4 linked regions of the Arabidopsis thaliana genome follow. The protein of the gene in region 4 interacts with the protein of the main gene of each other region in a pairwise test. Each region holds a gene or a part of one and is shown on either strand. Other genes may lie near its edges.

What was found.
Region 1: the proteins of DOG1 (region 4) and AHG1 interact in binary tests that used the Arabidopsis thaliana proteins (3 or more experiments, as listed by UniProt).
Region 2: the proteins of DOG1 (region 4) and DREB2A interact in binary tests that used the Arabidopsis thaliana proteins (3 or more experiments, as listed by UniProt).
Region 3: the proteins of DOG1 (region 4) and HAI2 interact in binary tests that used the Arabidopsis thaliana proteins (3 or more experiments, as listed by UniProt).

What each region holds. Positions count from the first base shown.
Region 1 is NC_003076.8:21,025,232-21,029,869, forward strand, and holds AHG1 (Protein phosphatase 2C family protein), read left to right. Parts: upstream 1-1,643; 5' UTR 1,644-1,684; coding exon 1,685-2,149; intron 2,150-2,215; coding exon 2,216-2,560; intron 2,561-2,626; coding exon 2,627-2,732; intron 2,733-3,346; coding exon 3,347-3,681; 3' UTR 3,682-3,957; downstream 3,958-4,638. UniProt on the Arabidopsis thaliana protein: Negative regulator of abscisic acid (ABA) responses during seed germination.
Region 2 is NC_003076.8:1,600,261-1,604,830, reverse strand, and holds DREB2A (DRE-binding protein 2A), read right to left. Parts: upstream 2,627-4,570; 5' UTR 2,462-2,626; intron 2,205-2,461; 5' UTR 2,182-2,204; coding exon 1,174-2,181; 3' UTR 792-1,173; downstream 1-791. Other genes in the region: AT5G05420 (FKBP-like peptidyl-prolyl cis-trans isomerase family protein), read left to right, coding at 8-181, 261-348, 438-479, 568-616, 713-791; AT5G05400 (LRR and NB-ARC domains-containing disease resistance protein), read left to right, coding at 4,462-4,570. UniProt on the Arabidopsis thaliana protein: Transcriptional activator that binds specifically to the DNA sequence 5'-[AG]CCGAC-3'. Binding to the C-repeat/DRE element mediates high salinity- and dehydration-inducible transcription.
Region 3 is NC_003070.9:2,280,205-2,284,619, forward strand, and holds HAI2 (highly ABA-induced PP2C protein 2), read right to left. Parts: upstream 2,625-4,415; 5' UTR 2,453-2,624; coding exon 1,949-2,452; intron 1,856-1,948; coding exon 1,544-1,855; intron 1,460-1,543; coding exon 947-1,459; 3' UTR 542-946; downstream 1-541. UniProt on the Arabidopsis thaliana protein: Involved in the negative regulation of the K(+) potassium channel AKT1 by its dephosphorylation, antagonistically to CIPK proteins (e.g. CIPK23). Functions as a positive regulator of abscisic acid-mediated cell signaling during seedling growth.
Region 4 is NC_003076.8:18,588,823-18,593,265, reverse strand, and holds DOG1 (delay of germination 1), read left to right. Parts: upstream 1-1,759; 5' UTR 1,760-1,769; coding exon 1,770-2,256; intron 2,257-2,610; coding exon 2,611-3,021; coding exon of another isoform or gene 3,022-3,050; exon of another isoform or gene 3,051-3,523; coding exon 3,524-3,597; 3' UTR 3,598-3,828; downstream 3,829-4,443.

The sequences.
Region 1 (4,638 bases), 2.4 Mb from region 4:
ACACTATTCTTTCTCATTATTTTCCAACTTTTTCTGAATTGATCATAGGATTTTTGGTAAGCAACTTCCCTTCATATAGTAATTCTAACCACACGCAAAATTATTAAACCAAATTTCCGCAAGAAGATCATAAAAAACTGAATAAACAATTTAAACAAACATTGATGTACGAAGATAACATTTCTATCATATATGGTTTATATATAATAACCTACTAAAACAGCCAGGGATTGAAATTAAGCTCACTAGTTTTTATTTTCTTCACATAAAAAAAAAAACAAAATCACTATATCGGCAAGTTAAGTTTTCAATCATTAAAACCTAAAACTAACCACCCAACCCACCAATGATTAAAACTATATCCCAGTCCCAACTAATCACAAATTTAAGGTAAAGTGTGTTTGAATCATTTTTTAAGAATTTTAGACAAGCTTTTTCATTATTATCTTCCTTTTAGATAACTTACACATTTATATTAGCTTAATATTTTGTTTGTTTTAGTTTTTAGCTAAACCATATCATTCATGTAGAGAGAACCACCCTAACTGTTATGATCTATTCGACTCGTATTAATTCTCATCAATATAGCAAAATATTAGGATTGATCGATCCACATATTTCAGTTCACCCACTTTAATATATTTCAAAGACAGTTTGTAAACATTTATTACGGTTTTCGTAGATCTTGAGTATTTGAATAAATAATGATATGATTCTTTGTATCTTGTACAGTTGCTTATTTGAGTAGACATTAATTACAAATCAAATCTGTTAGCATAAAATATACATATATCGCCGTTTTTCTTCATTTGTAGGAAACCAAATAAAGAATAAAAGGCATATGGCACTGATGGACTAAACTGGCATAACTATGCTACGTGTTTAATTGGTACAAGTCGCTCAACCTGAGGAATCGAGAAGTTGTAGATGATCACTATGTGACATGTGTTGCACCGAAAAAGAGTGACTAGTGACGATTGACGATTCGTCAACCTTTTTCTCCGAAGATATCTCCAACGTTATGGTTAATCCCATGATTTGGTTTAAGTATACTTACCGTTCAGGTTTTATAGAAAATACTACTCGAGATTTGGAACGATCAGTAAATGTTATTCCAGATTTAATATAGTAGAAATTGTTTGTTTTCACTTTTCAAAAAGATGGTTTTCAAAATTTAATTCTTTTTAAAAATAAGAAAATTGATATAAACCTTTTCAATATTGTTACATTTATAGTCATTGTTTTGACATTAATGTTTTCATATTGAAAGCAAAAGGAAACAAGATGCAATATTTCGTATATCATGAGTTTTTCATTTTCTATAATATTTGATGAATTAGTCCAGAACCAGCCTGATCCTTGTAGTTCACATGGTTTGAGAGATCAGCTCCGGCTCATGGGTTCAAATTCAAGCAAGGAGAAGAAGAAAGGAGTTAAGACACAAGAGCCTAGCTAAACGACTATCGTCATGAACCCAAAACCGGATGCGGTTTAACAAAAACCGAAGGCGTCTCCACGTGGACAACAACTTAACACCTGAGCCTAACACGCGAATACATCGAAACACCGACACGTGTTCTGTCTTCCTCGTAAGCTTCTTTATGTTCAAAGTGTTCTCTCTTTCTCTCGGCCCCATGTATATAAAGCGGTGCTCTCTTGATCCACCGAAACGAATTTTGAAAAGATGACTGAAATCTACAGAACAATTTCAACCGGACGTGGAGACGACGTTTCTCCGACTAAATGCCGTGAACGTCGTCGTCGGAGAATTGAGATGCGGAGACAAGCGGCGGTTTTCGGCGAACCTAGTTCGTCTAGGAATCGTGATCGGACGGACATGGAAGTTTACTCAAGTTTTGACGTTCCATTGAGGAAACAAGCTCGGAGGTCAGAGATCGGTGGTCTTCCGGCGGATATCGGGGGCTTTTTGGCACCTCCGGCGGCATCTTCTTGCCAAAAATCGGAAGCGCCGGTGTGGAAGGGAGAAGAAACGGAGGATGAGCCGTTGTACGGTATAGTTTCGGTTATGGGAAGATCTCGTAAGATGGAGGATTCGGTTACTGTTAAACCGAATTTGTGCAAACCGGAAGTTAACCGGCAAAGACCGGTTCATTTCTTTGCGGTATACGATGGCCACGGCGGTTCTCAGGTAAGAAAATTAACCAGGGGTGGTTTGGTCATTTAATATAAAGATGCTGATGTGATGCGTGGACAGGTGTCAACATTGTGCAGCACGACTATGCACACGTTTGTCAAGGAGGAGCTAGAGCAAAACCTCGAAGAGGAGGAAGAAGGAAGCGAAAACGATGTCGTGGAGAGGAAATGGCGGGGCGTGATGAAACGGAGTTTCAAGAGGATGGATGAGATGGCAACGAGTACATGCGTGTGTGGGACTAGTGTGCCGTTGTGTAACTGTGATCCGAGGGAGGCTGCGATTTCGGGTTCAACGGCGGTCACTGCGGTTTTGACGCACGATCATATTATTGTAGCCAATACTGGTGACTCACGTGCGGTGTTGTGTCGAAATGGAATGGCTATTCCTCTGAGTAACGATCACAAGGTGGTGTTCTTGTAAAGGTTTGAGAATATTGGAGTTTCTATTTTGAAGTTGTTGAGTTTTTTGCAGCCGGATAGACCAGACGAGCGTGCGAGGATTGAAGCAGCTGGTGGTCGAGTTTTAGTAGTGGATGGAGCTAGAGTTGAAGGAATTCTAGCCACGTCCAGAGCCATAGGTATACCTTTCTCAATTCTCATATTGTAGTAAAAGATGATTTTAGTTGATAGTGTTGAAGATGGCAAGGAACTAGAGCCTATAAGGGCAATAATAATCATTTCGGATTTGGGGTTTAGGGTTTTAAGTTTACTAACTAAGGTACTATGGATTGGTTTCATTTGGTGCGAGTTCTTTTGTTGATTAATTCTAATTCTATTTTCAAAGATGTTTTATAATTGTTCCTTTAAAAAAAAAATATGTAAATTTTACTCTCTTTTTTTTGTCAAAATGTTAACTAGAAATTTTACATTGGTCCTAATAGTTTAACATTTGACAAAAAAAAAAAAAAACAAAAAAAATTATATTTGCAGCATTAACTAGAAAACAAAAATAATTGAATCATTTTACGAAAATAAAAAATGTGGGCATTCATACAAACCATCTCATGGATTAGAACGGGAGAAGTATTTTTCTTAACTTCAAAAGTATTTAAATGTGTCTTATCTTTGTATCTTTCATTGTTTGATCATTTAACCAACTTAAAATTTATTTCGGTTATACAATTTATTAGACTAAACATGAAGTTTTAGTATGGAAATTGTTCCTAATGTTGTGTTACAATTCATGGAGCAGGGGACAGGTATCTAAAACCAATGGTAGCATGGGAACCAGAAGTAACATTCATGAGAAGGGAATCTGGAGATGAATGCTTAGTATTAGCAAGCGATGGGCTTTGGGATGTACTCTCGAGTCAGCTAGCTTGTGACATAGCTAGGTTTTGTCTCCGCGAAGAAACTCCCTCGAGCCTTGATTTAAATAGAATGGCTCAAGAAGACGACAATGACGGAGAACAAAATCCTTCAAGGAGTGTATTGGCTGCAACGTTGCTAACGCGGTTGGCTTTGGGTAGACAAAGCAGTGATAATATAAGTGTGGTCGTCATTGATCTCAAGAATAGCTCTCAGTAAAACTAGTTTTGGATCCTTTTTTTGGTGGTTGTGCAATTAAGTGGTTAAACCAAAGAATAAGATGTTGATATAGCGATGAGCCTTAATTAGTTTTAGGGTTTAGCGCCCGTCTTTGTTTTGTTATGAATTGGGGTTACCAATACACATTAACACCGGCGAATGTGAAAGGAAAAGAGAGTTGTTTGGATATGGGCTACAAGGTTATTTAGTGGTTTGGCCATGGGCTATTAAGGGTATTTAGTGGTTTAAACAATAAAATAAAAGTTAACTTGAGAGAATTTGTTCTCTAATTTTGTTTGTTGTATGTGTGTGATCATTTTGAAGTTATTGATCGTTTAGCTATTTAGGTGGTATGTGTGAAATAAATAGATAAAATAAAAACGTAGTACTGCTTTGGTTTTGTTCGTTGTAGTTCATTAGACGCCGGTCTTGGTCTTTTATATTTTTTTGATGGACTGATCATTTCCAATGGTTAAAGTCATCTCTGTCTACAAATACTTACATTTTGGTACAACCTGAATGAAGTGAATTTAAGGCTGAGATTTTGAACCAGCCCTAACCCTACTCAACCGTGCAGTTTTATATTTGGTTCAACAATGCTATATAGGCTTTTGGGCCAATTACCAGATTGTCTTTACTCTTTAGGCTTTAAAGGAAAAAAAAAAGAGATGTGCAAAAGAATCAAAGAGAACAATTCAAGAAAGAGAGACAAAAAGACAACTCTTATAGTTCGATGGAAATGGAACAATTCGAACAGGTTTGACGAATACAGAGTTTTGGTCCTAAATAAAAGGGAGATCAAGAATCAAGAATTGTCTTTGAAGTAAAACAAAAAGCGTGAGATGGAGAATGTTCTCATGAATAATTCTTACATTACTTTTTGTTCTTTTCTTTTTGGGTCATTATCGTCTCAGTGTTTGTGTCGCACTTTTCTTTGAATCATAATTGTGTTTGTGG
Region 2 (4,570 bases), about 17 Mb from region 4:
AAGCTCCATGTCCCCATCTGAATCTGCTAAGAAGAATGAGAAGATAAGTGAGGAAGCTACAGTGGAGAGTAAAGCCTTTTCTATTAGTGTTGAGAAGCAAACGCCTGACCTAGATGGCCTCATTGTTGAAGAGTTATGCATGGGAAACCCCAACGGCAAGAAAGCTGAGCCTGGCAAAAGGGTATGAGCATTTAGTCCTAAACTGTTGTAGTTTGTGTGCAAATATTTGTTGGAGGTCAGTCTATTGTCTCTGAGTGCAGGTAAGTGTCCATTATACTGGAAAGCTTCAGGGGAATGGGAAGATTTTCGATTCCACCGTTGGAAAATCACGTTATAAGTTTCGTCTAGGTTGGTATTATAACTTGATGCGAAAGTAAGAGCTTTATTAATGTGTGAGTGGTACTTGGATACTTATGTGCTTGCTGTTACACATACAGATGCTGGAAAAGTCATTAAGGGATTGGATGTTGGCCTTAATGGTAACCTAGCTAGTTTCTTACTGGTTTTTCTTCACTAAATATGGTCAAATGGTGTGTTGTTTTGATCTCTTTTTGTAAATTTCTAAAGGAATGCTTGTTGGTGGCAAAAGAAAGCTTACAATTCCTCCAGAAATGGGGTAAAGCCTTTGCAAATCTTTTTTTATTTTTCCATAATGTGATGTTTTATTTTAAGCTTTTTTTAATGAGAGATGATAAAATTGTCTGGCTCACAGGTATGGTGCGGAAGGTGCTGGTAGCATTCCCCCTGACTCTTGGCTGGTCTTTGATGTCGAGCTGCTTAATGTTAAATAAAGCTGCCCTCTAATCCCTAGAGAACTTCCTAAGACTCAATCCAATGATGAGTTTTTTTGTGGAGATCGTATAGTTTTTCCTCTTACGATTTCAAATATTGTGAGACACACTAAGGCCCATAAAGCTTCACAAGTGTGTATTATTCATTCCTGTTGTTACAAAACATAAAACATATCTAAAGAACAACTTAAGAGAAGCAGACTAACAAACTATAGTTGTCTTCTCTATTGTCATATCACTGTTTCGATATATACAGTTCACCTTTATAACAAGAAAAAACGTGTTCTGTAGTTCTCTATATCACTAAAACTCGGATAGAGAATCAACAGTCGTTGTGGGATTAAGGCAAATATCAAATCCAAAAAGCTTCATATTGTTTTGTTTAGTTCTCCAGATCCAAGTAACTCAAGTCGTCGAAGAATCCATTACCATCCTTTCCCTCGAGCTGAAACGGAGGTATTCCGTAGTTGAGGCTTTGTAGCGGATCAAAACCACTTTGTTGACTCTCGGGCCTGTATGAACCGTTGGCAACACTGTTCCCCGGGTACCGGTCCTGATTTAAGCCTGCAAACACATCGTCGCCATTTAGGTCACGTAGAAGCTCATCGACATCAAACATGTCTGAAGAATCCAAGTGACTCTGATCCACATCATTGGGCCAACCATAGTCTGCAACAGATAGCGAATCCTGCTGTTGTTGCTGACAGGTTTCTACAATCCCTTGCTCCTTCTGTTTCTCTTTCTCTTTCAGAATATCACTCCAATAGTTATGTTCAAACTCGCTCAGCCAATGCTTATCCGCTTTAACACCTCTCTTCATCTCTTCCGCACCATTCTCCAGACAATACATCGGCTCCACTCCACCGGAGAAGGGTTTAGATTCACAATCTGGATCCTCTGTTTTCACATGAACACAACCAGGAGTCTCAACAGTACACACCTCAGACTGACTTGAGGTACTCGTAACCTCAGACGCATCAGACCGAGGGAAATTAAGACGAGCCAAAGGACCATACATAGCTTTAGCAGCCTCATCATAAGCAGAAGCAGCTTCTTGAGCAGTAGGGAAAGTACCAAGCCAAAGCCTGCTACCTCGATTAGGCTCTCTGATCTCAGCAACCCATTTACCCCAAATCCTTTGCCTAACTCCTCTGAAACTACATCGGCTATTCTCTGGTCCTCCTTTACCTTTCATACAACCCTTCTTCGACCCTTTCGCAGGTACTTTCCTCTTCTTGGTAGAAACTTCTTCTACGGTCTCGTTATACTCTTTCCATCTCTTTAATCTCTCAGCCACAGTAGTACCGTCACCTCTACTTCTAGATTTCCTTTTCCTCGATGTATCAATTTGTGTTCTGTTTCTATCTCCACTCTGATCATAAACTGCCATCTCCTTCCCAGAAACAACACAATCTACAATACAACAACACTTCAATATCAGAACACAAGCTGAAACATAAGGCAAGAGAACTTAAACTTGGTTCAAAATCAGATCGATTTACTTATTTGTTATCAAATTAGGAACACCTAAAATTTCCCAATTTCACAGCTATACCTAAAAGGAAATAATCGAAAACCTAAAGACGAAGATAAACCCTAGAATCACCAATTGACGAGACCTAATCAGAGAAATTAATTGAAAATTTGTAAGAAATCAGAAATCAACGTACCTATAGGGGACGAAATTTGAAAATCAAAGTCTCTTCCTTCGAGTTGATAAATCGCTTTCGTGTTTAGTCTTCTTGCTCGTATCTTTTCTTCTTCTTCTTGTGTGTAGCTTTTTCGAGTTTTCCTCTTCTTTTTATCAGACAGCTTTAGCAGAAATCAAAATATCTAAGGAAGACAAAGTATCTACGGAGTATTTATAGCCTTCTCTAGATTTTTCTAACATTATTTTATTTTTCTGTTTGAGAGCAAGGTTACGTGTCAGTTTTTGATTCGAACATAAAGGCTTAGACGACTTTTCCGTTCGACGAGTGTCCTCCCGAATCTTCTCGAAACACGCTGTTGATACGGAAAAGTAAAGTTTAAACCTTTTTAAAATTGATTTATGGATAAGATCATAAAACTACTTCATTATTTAAATATTATGAAATTTTAAAATATCTTCATTTTTTTTTTATTAACCCTGACAACACAACACTGTCTCATCTGCTCTTTCTCGATTTTTCTTGGTTTATTGCCAGTTTGCCACTGCATCACACTTACTAGATGTGTAATTGGATGATGATGTTTATTGCCTGTTTTTCTAGTTTTTACAAACGTGCACATTATTCAATTTTGTTTTGATGAGATACTTATCGTTTATATAGATATTTTTAAAAAGATCACGGTTAATATTGTAAAATTAAAGGTTTCCGGTGTACGTACGACATAGAGCGAATTCATAAATGTGTCAGCCAGAAATGTCTTAAACATGAAGTATTAGTTTAAAGTTTAAGCATTAAGTATTAGCTAGAGACGTGTCAAATGGTGAAGCTCAAACTTGGGTGGCTTAGCTTCGAGCAGAGGTGATAGGGTCCATTACCTTATAAAATTTGGGAATCGCAAGTTGTAGCAAAGCAGCAGTCATTTATAGCCTTTGCATGTGCCTCATGTGTCCTTTGCTAACCAAAGCCACTTCATCCACTACGTGTCTCTAACGGCATCGCTAACGTAAGCTCACGCAATTGCCTACGTACTTCAACCTCATGGGCCTTAGTTACTTAACATCCATTATCAAACCCATTGCCTACGTGATACAATCCCATGTGCCTCAGTTAATTAACATCCATTATCAAACCCTTAAAGCCCGTTAATCTAAATTAGCCCATTGGATGGGTGTCGTCCATTTTATTTCTACCGTCGGTGTTGCTACTATCTCGCTATCTCAAGCACGATCGGGTGAGCATCTTCTAGTCTAGTCGATTGAGCCTACAAGTTTCTATCTTCTGGATCTATATGAAATTTCAGTTTGTTTGTTTTTTTTTTCGCTGAAGAGAAATTTCAGTTTTTATTGGTCTAAATAAGGCATGAATTTGGAAATCTGTATCTACGAGTTGGTTTCTTCGCTGTAATGCTTGTTTGTTTTTGGTTTAGTGAACAACATTTGGATGATAAATTATTTGTGCGGAAAAAGCTGCAAGATGATGCCATGATGGCAACACTAATTTTGTTGCTGACTGTAGACTCTCTTTTCTTCGACGACCGTGAGAAGAGCTCTGTAAGTTTGGCTTCTTTCTTTCCATATTAGTATGAATAGGTTATTCGCGTGGCTATGAATCATTCAGCATTGTCTAAGGCCTAGGATCGATAGGGAGGAACGCATTCATTACAATGATTTAGGTTATCGATTACAAAACCATTATTGGAAAACGAGATGTAAGTAAAATGTTGACTTGGCTTGGCCAAACCACGTTAGAATTGTGTTAAGAAAAAACGAGCACATAGTGCTCACTAAACTTGGCTCTGTTAACATCCCAAGGGTCGTTGACCTTATGAAAAAAATGTTATCTTGGTTACAGTTCATTTTTAAAATAACATAAATATTTGATCGAGTCGTAGATGACTGGATGCCAAGATTGGTGGTCAACCCGAATGATCGTGCACACACCTCAGTTAATAAACTAAAACATTAGGAAAGGAATTTGTATATTAATCTCTCTGGTAGGAATTTGAGAATCTATGAGAGATGGGAGCCTGCTTCTCTGTGGCAATATCCTGTGACCAGGCTGTTAATAACCTTACAAGCTGCCTTAGCAGGAACCAAAATCGCTTCCGCAACCTCGTAGATCATGTAG
Region 3 (4,415 bases), on a different chromosome or scaffold from region 4:
TTCAACTCAGTATGTGTTTAGGTTGGGCAATTAAAACATTTTGTATGGGTCATCTATTTGAAGCTTAATATATCCTTGTCTCATTTTTCTGTATCAAGTTTAGATGTTGCGCTACCAAATTTTTGGGTAGGTTATAGCCTTATAGGATTCAGATGAAAATATAATACCCCAAAATTCTCGGCCCAAATGCTTTGGGAGTGTTGGTTCGATTTTCCTTCTTAATAAAATTCTTACATTACATGACAGGTAAGTTAATTTTGATTTTCCATCAGACCAGTGATCATGTTTAGATAAAACAGTCTGATTAGGTTCATATTCAGATCTCAATCAATTACCCGACACCGACACCGACACGTACGAATGCGCATATTAACATATGCATCGTTCCGGTGTGTCACATCCTCTTTACGTGGTGTAGGGTTTCTACTTTTACCTCTTCGACACGTACTCCGTCCTCTTCCCAATTATCTTCTCTCTCTTTTCGTTTCCGTGAGATTTTGAATTTCTTCCAACACCAAAAAGGCCCACTCGTTTATAGAGATTTTAAAATCTTTATCAACAAACTGAAAATTCCCGGTGATGTTCTCAAAGATCACCACGCGTATCCGAGTTAATTGGTTTGCTTTAAAAGCCAAGAAAACATATACATACTTTTTTATTAATTGAATTCTGAACTGATTCCACCTAGACAGTGACACATTCCGGCTTCCTTTTCTGTTTGTTCATTACACACCGAAAAAAGGCAAGAAAAAAAGGTTCAGAACAAAAAAGACCCAACCATACCCGGTTTAACCGCTTTCAGTAAACCGGGGTTTTTTTTTTAGACCTAATGCTTTTTTTTTCTCTCTTTTGGGTTCAAAGATTTGAGCTACCTTCGTCCCAAGGTAAAAGAATCATTTTAAACAACACAAAAAACGGTGGAGTAAGAGTGATGAGGAGATTAGTGTCAAGCAACGTGTCTCTTTCTTCTTCTTCTGAGATCAATAACGACGACGCTTACGTTGTCACTACTGTGTTTTGCCAACGCCAGCTTCGTCAGCAATACTGACGCCTCCGTACATGCTTTGTCCGTGATCTCTCCTCTCTTCCCGTTCTTTCTTGACCCCACCACCTTCTCCTCTTCTTCTTTCCCTTCTTCTTCACTCCTCCTCCCCGGAGTCTGTGTTTCTCCTCGCCGTCTTCCACGACCACTTTTTCTGTTGAGACACATGCGCACCATCGTACACGCTGCCTCGTTCGTCACTACGTCCCATAGCCCGTCCGTCGCTAGAATCAGAAACTCATCTTCCTCAGTCCGATCCGTAACCGTCACTTCCGGCTCCGAAGTGACGTACGGTTTTAAATAATTGTCTCCTATGGCTCGTGACATGGCTAAAACGCCTAAGACTCTTGCACCGTCCCAGTATATCACTCGTCCTCCTGCTTCTTGGATTCGATCCAGCTCATCCGGACGATCAGGCTGTTCATTTTCAAACGTAAACAAGAGTTAAAATCCACTAAATCAAACAAATCAAGAAAGAGTTAGAAAGAGATAAAGACTGACCTTATGATCTGTAGAAAGAGGTACTGCTTTACCATTCCTACAAAGAACTGCTCTTGAGTCACCGCAATTCGCAACAATGATCTTCTCCGGCGTAATGACGGAGACAACGGCGGTGGATCCAACAGCGTCACAGTCCGGCGTTTGAAGCTCACACCTACAATTAGCACTCATCACAGTTTCACCCCAACGAACAACCTCTTTGTCCATACGTGTGAAGCTACGCTCCATCATCTTCTTCCATTCTTCTTTCTTATCCGACAACGCTTCTTCTTGCACTAACTCGTGAAGTCTCTCTTTACACCTAGCCGCAACCTACAAAAACGACATCGTATATTTCAATCAGGCAAAACCGTAAATATATCAATAATTTTGAAATTTTCAAATTAGGGTAAAACGGCGTCGTACGTGAGAACAGCCATGGCCGTCGTAAACACCAAAATAGTGCCATCTTGTTCGAGAAAACTCCGTTTGTTTCCGTACAAAAGACGGATGTAACGCAACCGCATCTTCCATATCTCTTCTTCTCCCGCACACCGATGCGACGCCGTATCTCGGCCTCAGATCCGTCTCTTTAACCGTCTTCTTCGACGGAATAACTGCAACATCATTAACCGATGAATTTCCATCGGAGATAGAGACGTCACTGTCTTCAAGTGATACACTCTCTTCTTCAGGAGAGCTTTGAGAAGGTGACGACGATGCACAGTTCATAAAATCGTACTCTTCTTGTTTATTTCGCTTATTATAAATCCCTTCAGATTTATCCTCCTCCTCCGTCGTCGACGCCGTGGGATTCATCTCCGACGGAGACATCCTGAATCGCTGGACACCGATCCTCCACTTCCGGCTAGACCACAACGGTCTTGATTCACAAGCCGACGTCTCGTCTTCATAACAAATATCCGCCATAACTCGATCGCCGCCTCTACTAAATATTCCGGTAACGAATCTTTTGAACGTCAATTAATTTCCGACGAAATATCTCTCTCCAAAATTTATTTTATGTTTATTACAAAAACAAAAAAAGAGTCGAATAGTGTTTCTTTTTTTTTTGGTTATACCACGCAGTTGAATAAATATCATCGTTACACGTTACAAAGCGTGCCCATTTATATACCCATGCGGCCTACCGCTTCATTAAACATTTTAAAATTCCTTTTTCTCTTCCTCGTTTTCAAATTACTTTTAACTTTTGATTTTTCTCCCTCCGCCTTCAAAAAATCTTTTACTCTAGCGACGTGACGTGTTGGTCTTTCGTCTAAATTAGAATCAATCTTGACCGTTGATCTGGTCACTATAGTATCTAGAAATGGACCACGTAAGCATCACGATCAGGTGGAGATATACGTGGCCCAATGACAAGGCAACAGAGGGGAGGAGGAAGTTCCTTTCGCGCCACGATTGTGGTCCACTTCTTTCTCAGGAAGACCTTTTTTGTCCAAATTGTCTCTGTGTCTCCCTTAAAGATAAAATATCTATCTAATCAACGATTTTTTAATTTTAAAGAATCCCATTACGTTAGTTAAATTTTTATTGTAGTTAACCTTAATTTGATCTAAATTAGGTCAACTTTTCAAGACTAACGAATTAAGTACGAAATTGTATACAGCGATTTTGCGATCATCTCATTAAAGAATTTATATACTGTGAACTAAAATTAGGTTACACTAAGACACGTACGTTAACTTTTCATATGAAAATTCTTTAGTTTTGTTTTTATGTAACCTTTAACATCATATTACGTTATTTCGGTTAACACTTAAAAGGTGCTTGGGAATTGTTTAGCTAAATCCTCTGTAGGCTGGTTTGGACTAAAATTTCTAACATATTAAGACCAGAGCTTTTTGTAGTGTTAAAAAAAAAAAAAAAAAATCTAACATCATAACTAATGATTTTGATATGAAAGCTTATGATATTTTTTACCAAAATATGCTTGTAATATTTTTGTCTTGTCGTGTTTAAAACATTTGCAAAGAAAGTGTACTAGTAATCTCATACCAAAATCATTTAATTGATATATAAAATAAAGTTATAACCATTTACCTAATTAAAAATGAAAGAAGTAGCGTGCATATATCCATAATTTTATCCGGATCTCCTATAAATTAATACATTGATTCGTTGCAGAAGTTAAGATTGAATTCAGAGTACTAATACATCATTTTTGAATCAGACCAAAAAGATTCTCAGCACTCAAAAGCATTGCGTTCAGCATTTAATAATAATTATAGTTAGAGTACGTACGGAGAGAAAGAAATTTAACTATAACGTATATAAGATTACAAATACAATCATGAATTTAAGTCCAAATCTGTCTCCATCAATTGGATTTGATATAAGCACCAGATCAGCTAGATTTCACGCAACTAAATCTCATCTGTTTAATTACCTGTAAAGCTGTAGTTACATTCATGATTACCTAAATAATCCTCGAGTAATTAAAAATTGAGGCCTCCCTAAAGTCACTATGAAGTAGAAAGTGAAAAATGAAAAAGCCGTACAGAGGACACGTAATTGTCTTGGAATGAGGAGTTATATTGTTAACCGTTAAAAGCCACAAAACAAAAATAAAAAGAAGATAGAAAAGGCTTTTTGGTGAAGCAGTGGCCCAACCATTTACCTCTACGTTTCTCCTTTGTTTCCATTCCGGCGAGTGGGTCTCACCTCCTTTATAACGGAATCTGAGGGCTCTCTTTTCCTCCACCGTACACGTGTTACCATCGTAGCTCTTATGTTTGGATATTTACCGACTACTGTTGCAGTGAAGTTAGGTCACTTTGTCTCTCACACACTCTACTCTCTCCAGTGAACGATGACAAGCTTTAATGTGTCTCTCAAGTCTCAACTGTAAAAAAAAGAAGCTAATTGGTGT
Region 4 (4,443 bases):
TTGATTACAATATATGCAGCTTTAAGCAGAATGTTTTTTCTGAAAAAAAGTATTCCCATTAAGTGATCTTGTGTTATCATAAAAAATAAATAAAAGATAAGGTCATATGTCATCATAACCTGAGCCTAAAGGTAACGACTAACGACAACCGTGACATACTTTTTCATTAAGCACGTTACACGACGAGACTAGCGTAGTACGTGTCGAACTATCCTCATACGTGTTTGATTCACTGCTATAAATAGAACCAATAATAACGATGTTAATATTTGGTTCTTAATCAAGATATTGTGGACCGCTTGTCCATAATTCCCTCGGAAAACCAAAACAGGTATTATATTCAAGATTCGACCTCGTGATTTTGAGGTGCATTATTTTTTGTAGAAGATTTCCATCTTCTTTTTTTCACGGCTCTCAAAGGTTTCCTTGTACACAAGTTACACTACACTGAATAATTTTCTTTATTGCATCCTTTAAACAAACTTTTGTATATTATTTTGATATTGAAATCCACCATATATATGTCTTTTTTTCTCTGTCGCTTCCTATTTGATGCATGTGAATAATTTTCACTACTATATAACCAGTTTTCTAATCATTTTCTCCGTAGTAAAAGACAAAAGTAAATTAACGAAGCTCGTTATAATAATTTAGTACTTACCAAAAAACGTCCAAAAGTTGGAGATAACTCGTTTCCAAGATATTCTACACCTCTTCTTAAGTCTCTGATCCCCAAAGAATAATAATTATTTATACGAAAATATATATAAATATAACATACTGTACAATCCGCTGTCTCAGGACATCCAAAAAAATCATTTATATCAGTAACAAAAAAAACATATCGTGAATATTAAAAAATCATCAAATAAGTGATACCAATGAATTAGTTGTTAACCACAGTGATTTAAAAGACTGATATTTTAATTGATGAATCCTAGGAATGAAAAGTTGATAATTGTATGATCTAATCTCCAATTTCTTTCCTCTTTAAAGAGGTAAAATTGCCACATGGAACATTTAACACCATTCTGAATTTCTGATTCCAGGAACGTTGTCGTATCATATCTACTCGTGTAAGTCTTAGATCGATTTAGAACTTAGAAGAACAACACTTCTTGTTTTATCCTAATTAATACTATAATATATGCATGTAAAATCTTGTTTTTTCTATATCGGGTCAATGTGAATTGATATATTAGTTTGTGAGTGTGTCGGCTTCCGTAACTTACAGGAAGGGTTTTTACTTTTCTTTTTCAGATAATTAATGAAGAAGAAGAAAATACAACCAAATTTACACAAAAATAATGGCAAATTAAACTATTTTGGAACAACAACTCGCACTCTCTATTAGTCCTCCACGTAATGCATGCATGCGTTATTTCTTTTATTTCCTCGGAAAGCACGTACTAATCTTCCAACTTTCAATACTAATACTCGTTTTAATATGTGTCCAAGTAAACATTTTCTGTCCAAGTTCATTTTCAACTTTTGAGTTGTCAATGTTTCTATTTTTCCTCTTTATTTTTGACATTTGTCATTGTTTCCCTATATTAAATTTAAACGATAATAATTTGGTTCGGTTAATATAACGCTACTAAATATATATTTAGAAGAAAATTTAATTGTTTAATCATAATTCAGTTTATTCGACATTTTTATCCATAAGTATTATAATGTATAGTATTATTTTTAGAGATAATCATTAATCAGAGAATAAAATATAATTCTGGTCCATTTAACTTTTAACTATATATAAACCCAATGAAATGAAAACAAAAACACACAAAACACAAACACGCAAACCAAAAGAGATCAAACCAATAATCAAAATACTCCTCATTATATCAGAAAAAAAAAAAAAAATGGGATCTTCATCAAAGAACATCGAACAAGCTCAAGATTCTTATCTCGAGTGGATGAGTTTGCAATCTCAACGCATCCCTGAGCTCAAACAACTCTTAGCTCAACGACGATCTCACGGTGATGAAGATAATGATAACAAGCTTCGTAAGTTAACGGGAAAAATCATCGGTGATTTCAAAAATTACGCCGCAAAAAGAGCTGATCTTGCTCACCGATGTAGCTCGAACTATTATGCACCCACGTGGAACAGTCCTTTAGAGAACGCTCTAATTTGGATGGGTGGTTGTCGACCATCTTCTTTCTTTAGGCTCGTTTATGCTTTGTGTGGGTCACAAACTGAGATCCGTGTGACTCAGTTTCTCCGCAACATCGACGGCTACGAATCTTCAGGTAAGGGTTTGGACGTTTTCGGTTATTTCGGTTTTGAGGAATAAAAAAATAGACTAAATTTAATTTTTTGGTTCGGTAGTCAGTACGGTGCGGCAAAAAATTTTATTGTCTTCCTTCCGATTTCTAAAATTTATTTATTCTGTTCATTTTGCTTATGACAAAAATAATAGATTCTTAGGTTTTATATTAAGTTGGGTTCGGTTTGAATTTGGAATTTGTTCAGTTCTATATATTATACAAATATATTATTATTTTTAAATAAAATTAATCATAAAAAATGATTCCGAACCATAGATCTATACCAAAATTCTAATGGTTTCGGTTCGGTTGGTTCAATATGGTTTGGTTTGACAGGTGGTGGCGGCGGTGCATCACTTAGCGACTTAAGTGCGGAGCAGCTAGCTAAAATCAATGTGTTGCATGTAAAAATTATAGACGAAGAAGAGAAGATGACCAAGAAAGTCTCAAGCCTACAAGAAGACGCAGCGGATATTCCCATCGCCACTGTGGCTTACGAGATGGAGAATGTCGGAGAGCCTAACGTAGTGGTGGATCAAGCTCTCGACAAGCAAGAAGAAGCTATGGCTCGTTTATTGGTCGAGGCCGATAATCTAAGGGTTGATACTTTAGCGAAGATCCTCGGGATTCTATCTCCGGTACAAGGAGCGGATTTCTTGCTCGCTGGGAAAAAGCTTCATCTTTCGATGCATGAGTGGGGAACTATGAGAGATCGTCGCCGTCGTGACTGTATGGTTGACACCGAAGGTAATGCCGGAGGAGAGGAAGGAAAGTAGTCGTTATTATATTAGATATGATACTATAGGTACGTACGTGTCATATTTAAAATTGCATAATAACAAGGTTTTCAATCTTGATATTATAAAGTTATATATTTGGCATATATTCTAGGGATATATAACCCGTATGTGTGTTACTTTTATTTTCTGAAGACTTATGGTAGCAAGGTGCAATGCGTTATGTTAGTTTATATTATAAATAATTAAGATTTTGCTTTGTATAAGATGGATCTTTTGTTTTTTATTAAATGCAGAAATATAGTTTTATATATAATCTTATATAATAATTATTGTTTCGTTATAAGATTGTAGTTTGTAAGGATAAAAAATAACCTTTTTTTTGGTTAATGGATAAGAAATCATTTATAAGTTACATTTTGATGTTTTAAATTTTATCACTTATCGAAGATATATTTGAATTATTCTATTTTTTATAGTTTATTCACGTCGTGGCATTTTGCGAAATACAGTAATATTCGATGCATGTACAACTGTGAATAGTGGCCCACGCCCCACGGAGACGACAAATAATGAGAGAAATTGAGATTTGTGTGTTTACGTGGCAGCAACATGATCTCGTCTCGACAAGTCAGCTAGGAGATTTTTATCCAAGATTGCATTGGATTTTTATATTCTTAGATTTTTCCATTATTATTTTGTGTGGTAGGGAATATTCATAAAGAAAATTGTGGAGTATCTAAATAAATTGTTGGAAGCATCCTTTTTTTTTCATTGAACGCATCCTTTTTTTTTATGGACTTGGCAGATTTGGTAAAAATAAGAGTTCTAGTTTCGAAAATTCAACTGTATCTATATTAACTTAATTTATATCAAACTTAACTCATTAAACCTAACCAAGCTCTATACTTGAGATAAGATTCCACAACATTTCAAGTATTCATAGTGGTGAAATGTACTATAGGGTTAAAGTTTGGATCGCGATTAGTAAGCTCTTTAACTTTAAAATAACATTAAACCTAAGTAACCACTTCATGGTGGAATAATGTTTACATGATTCATTCTATAAATTGATTTGAGTCTCTTCAATGCGATTTGATAACTTAAAATATCTTAATCGCCAAGAATACTAGTTTTTCTACAGATAGCAAGAGATCAAATCTAATCATTCAAATGAAAATAACACTCTAAAACCTACAAAAACACTTCTTATAACTGTAAAAATATATTGCAATCTACCTAGATGACACAATTCTAGATGCCCCCATGAACATGATCAACTTTTCTATGTTTCATATTTATTTATTCCTCAGTGATTGCCTCCCTGGGTTTGTAGTGGGTCGGGCCGAGTAAAAATTGGCCGATGTTAACAATCATATCCATATCTGTATTTGCAACTCCAAGATTTATCCTCCACTTATTTTCGTATCAT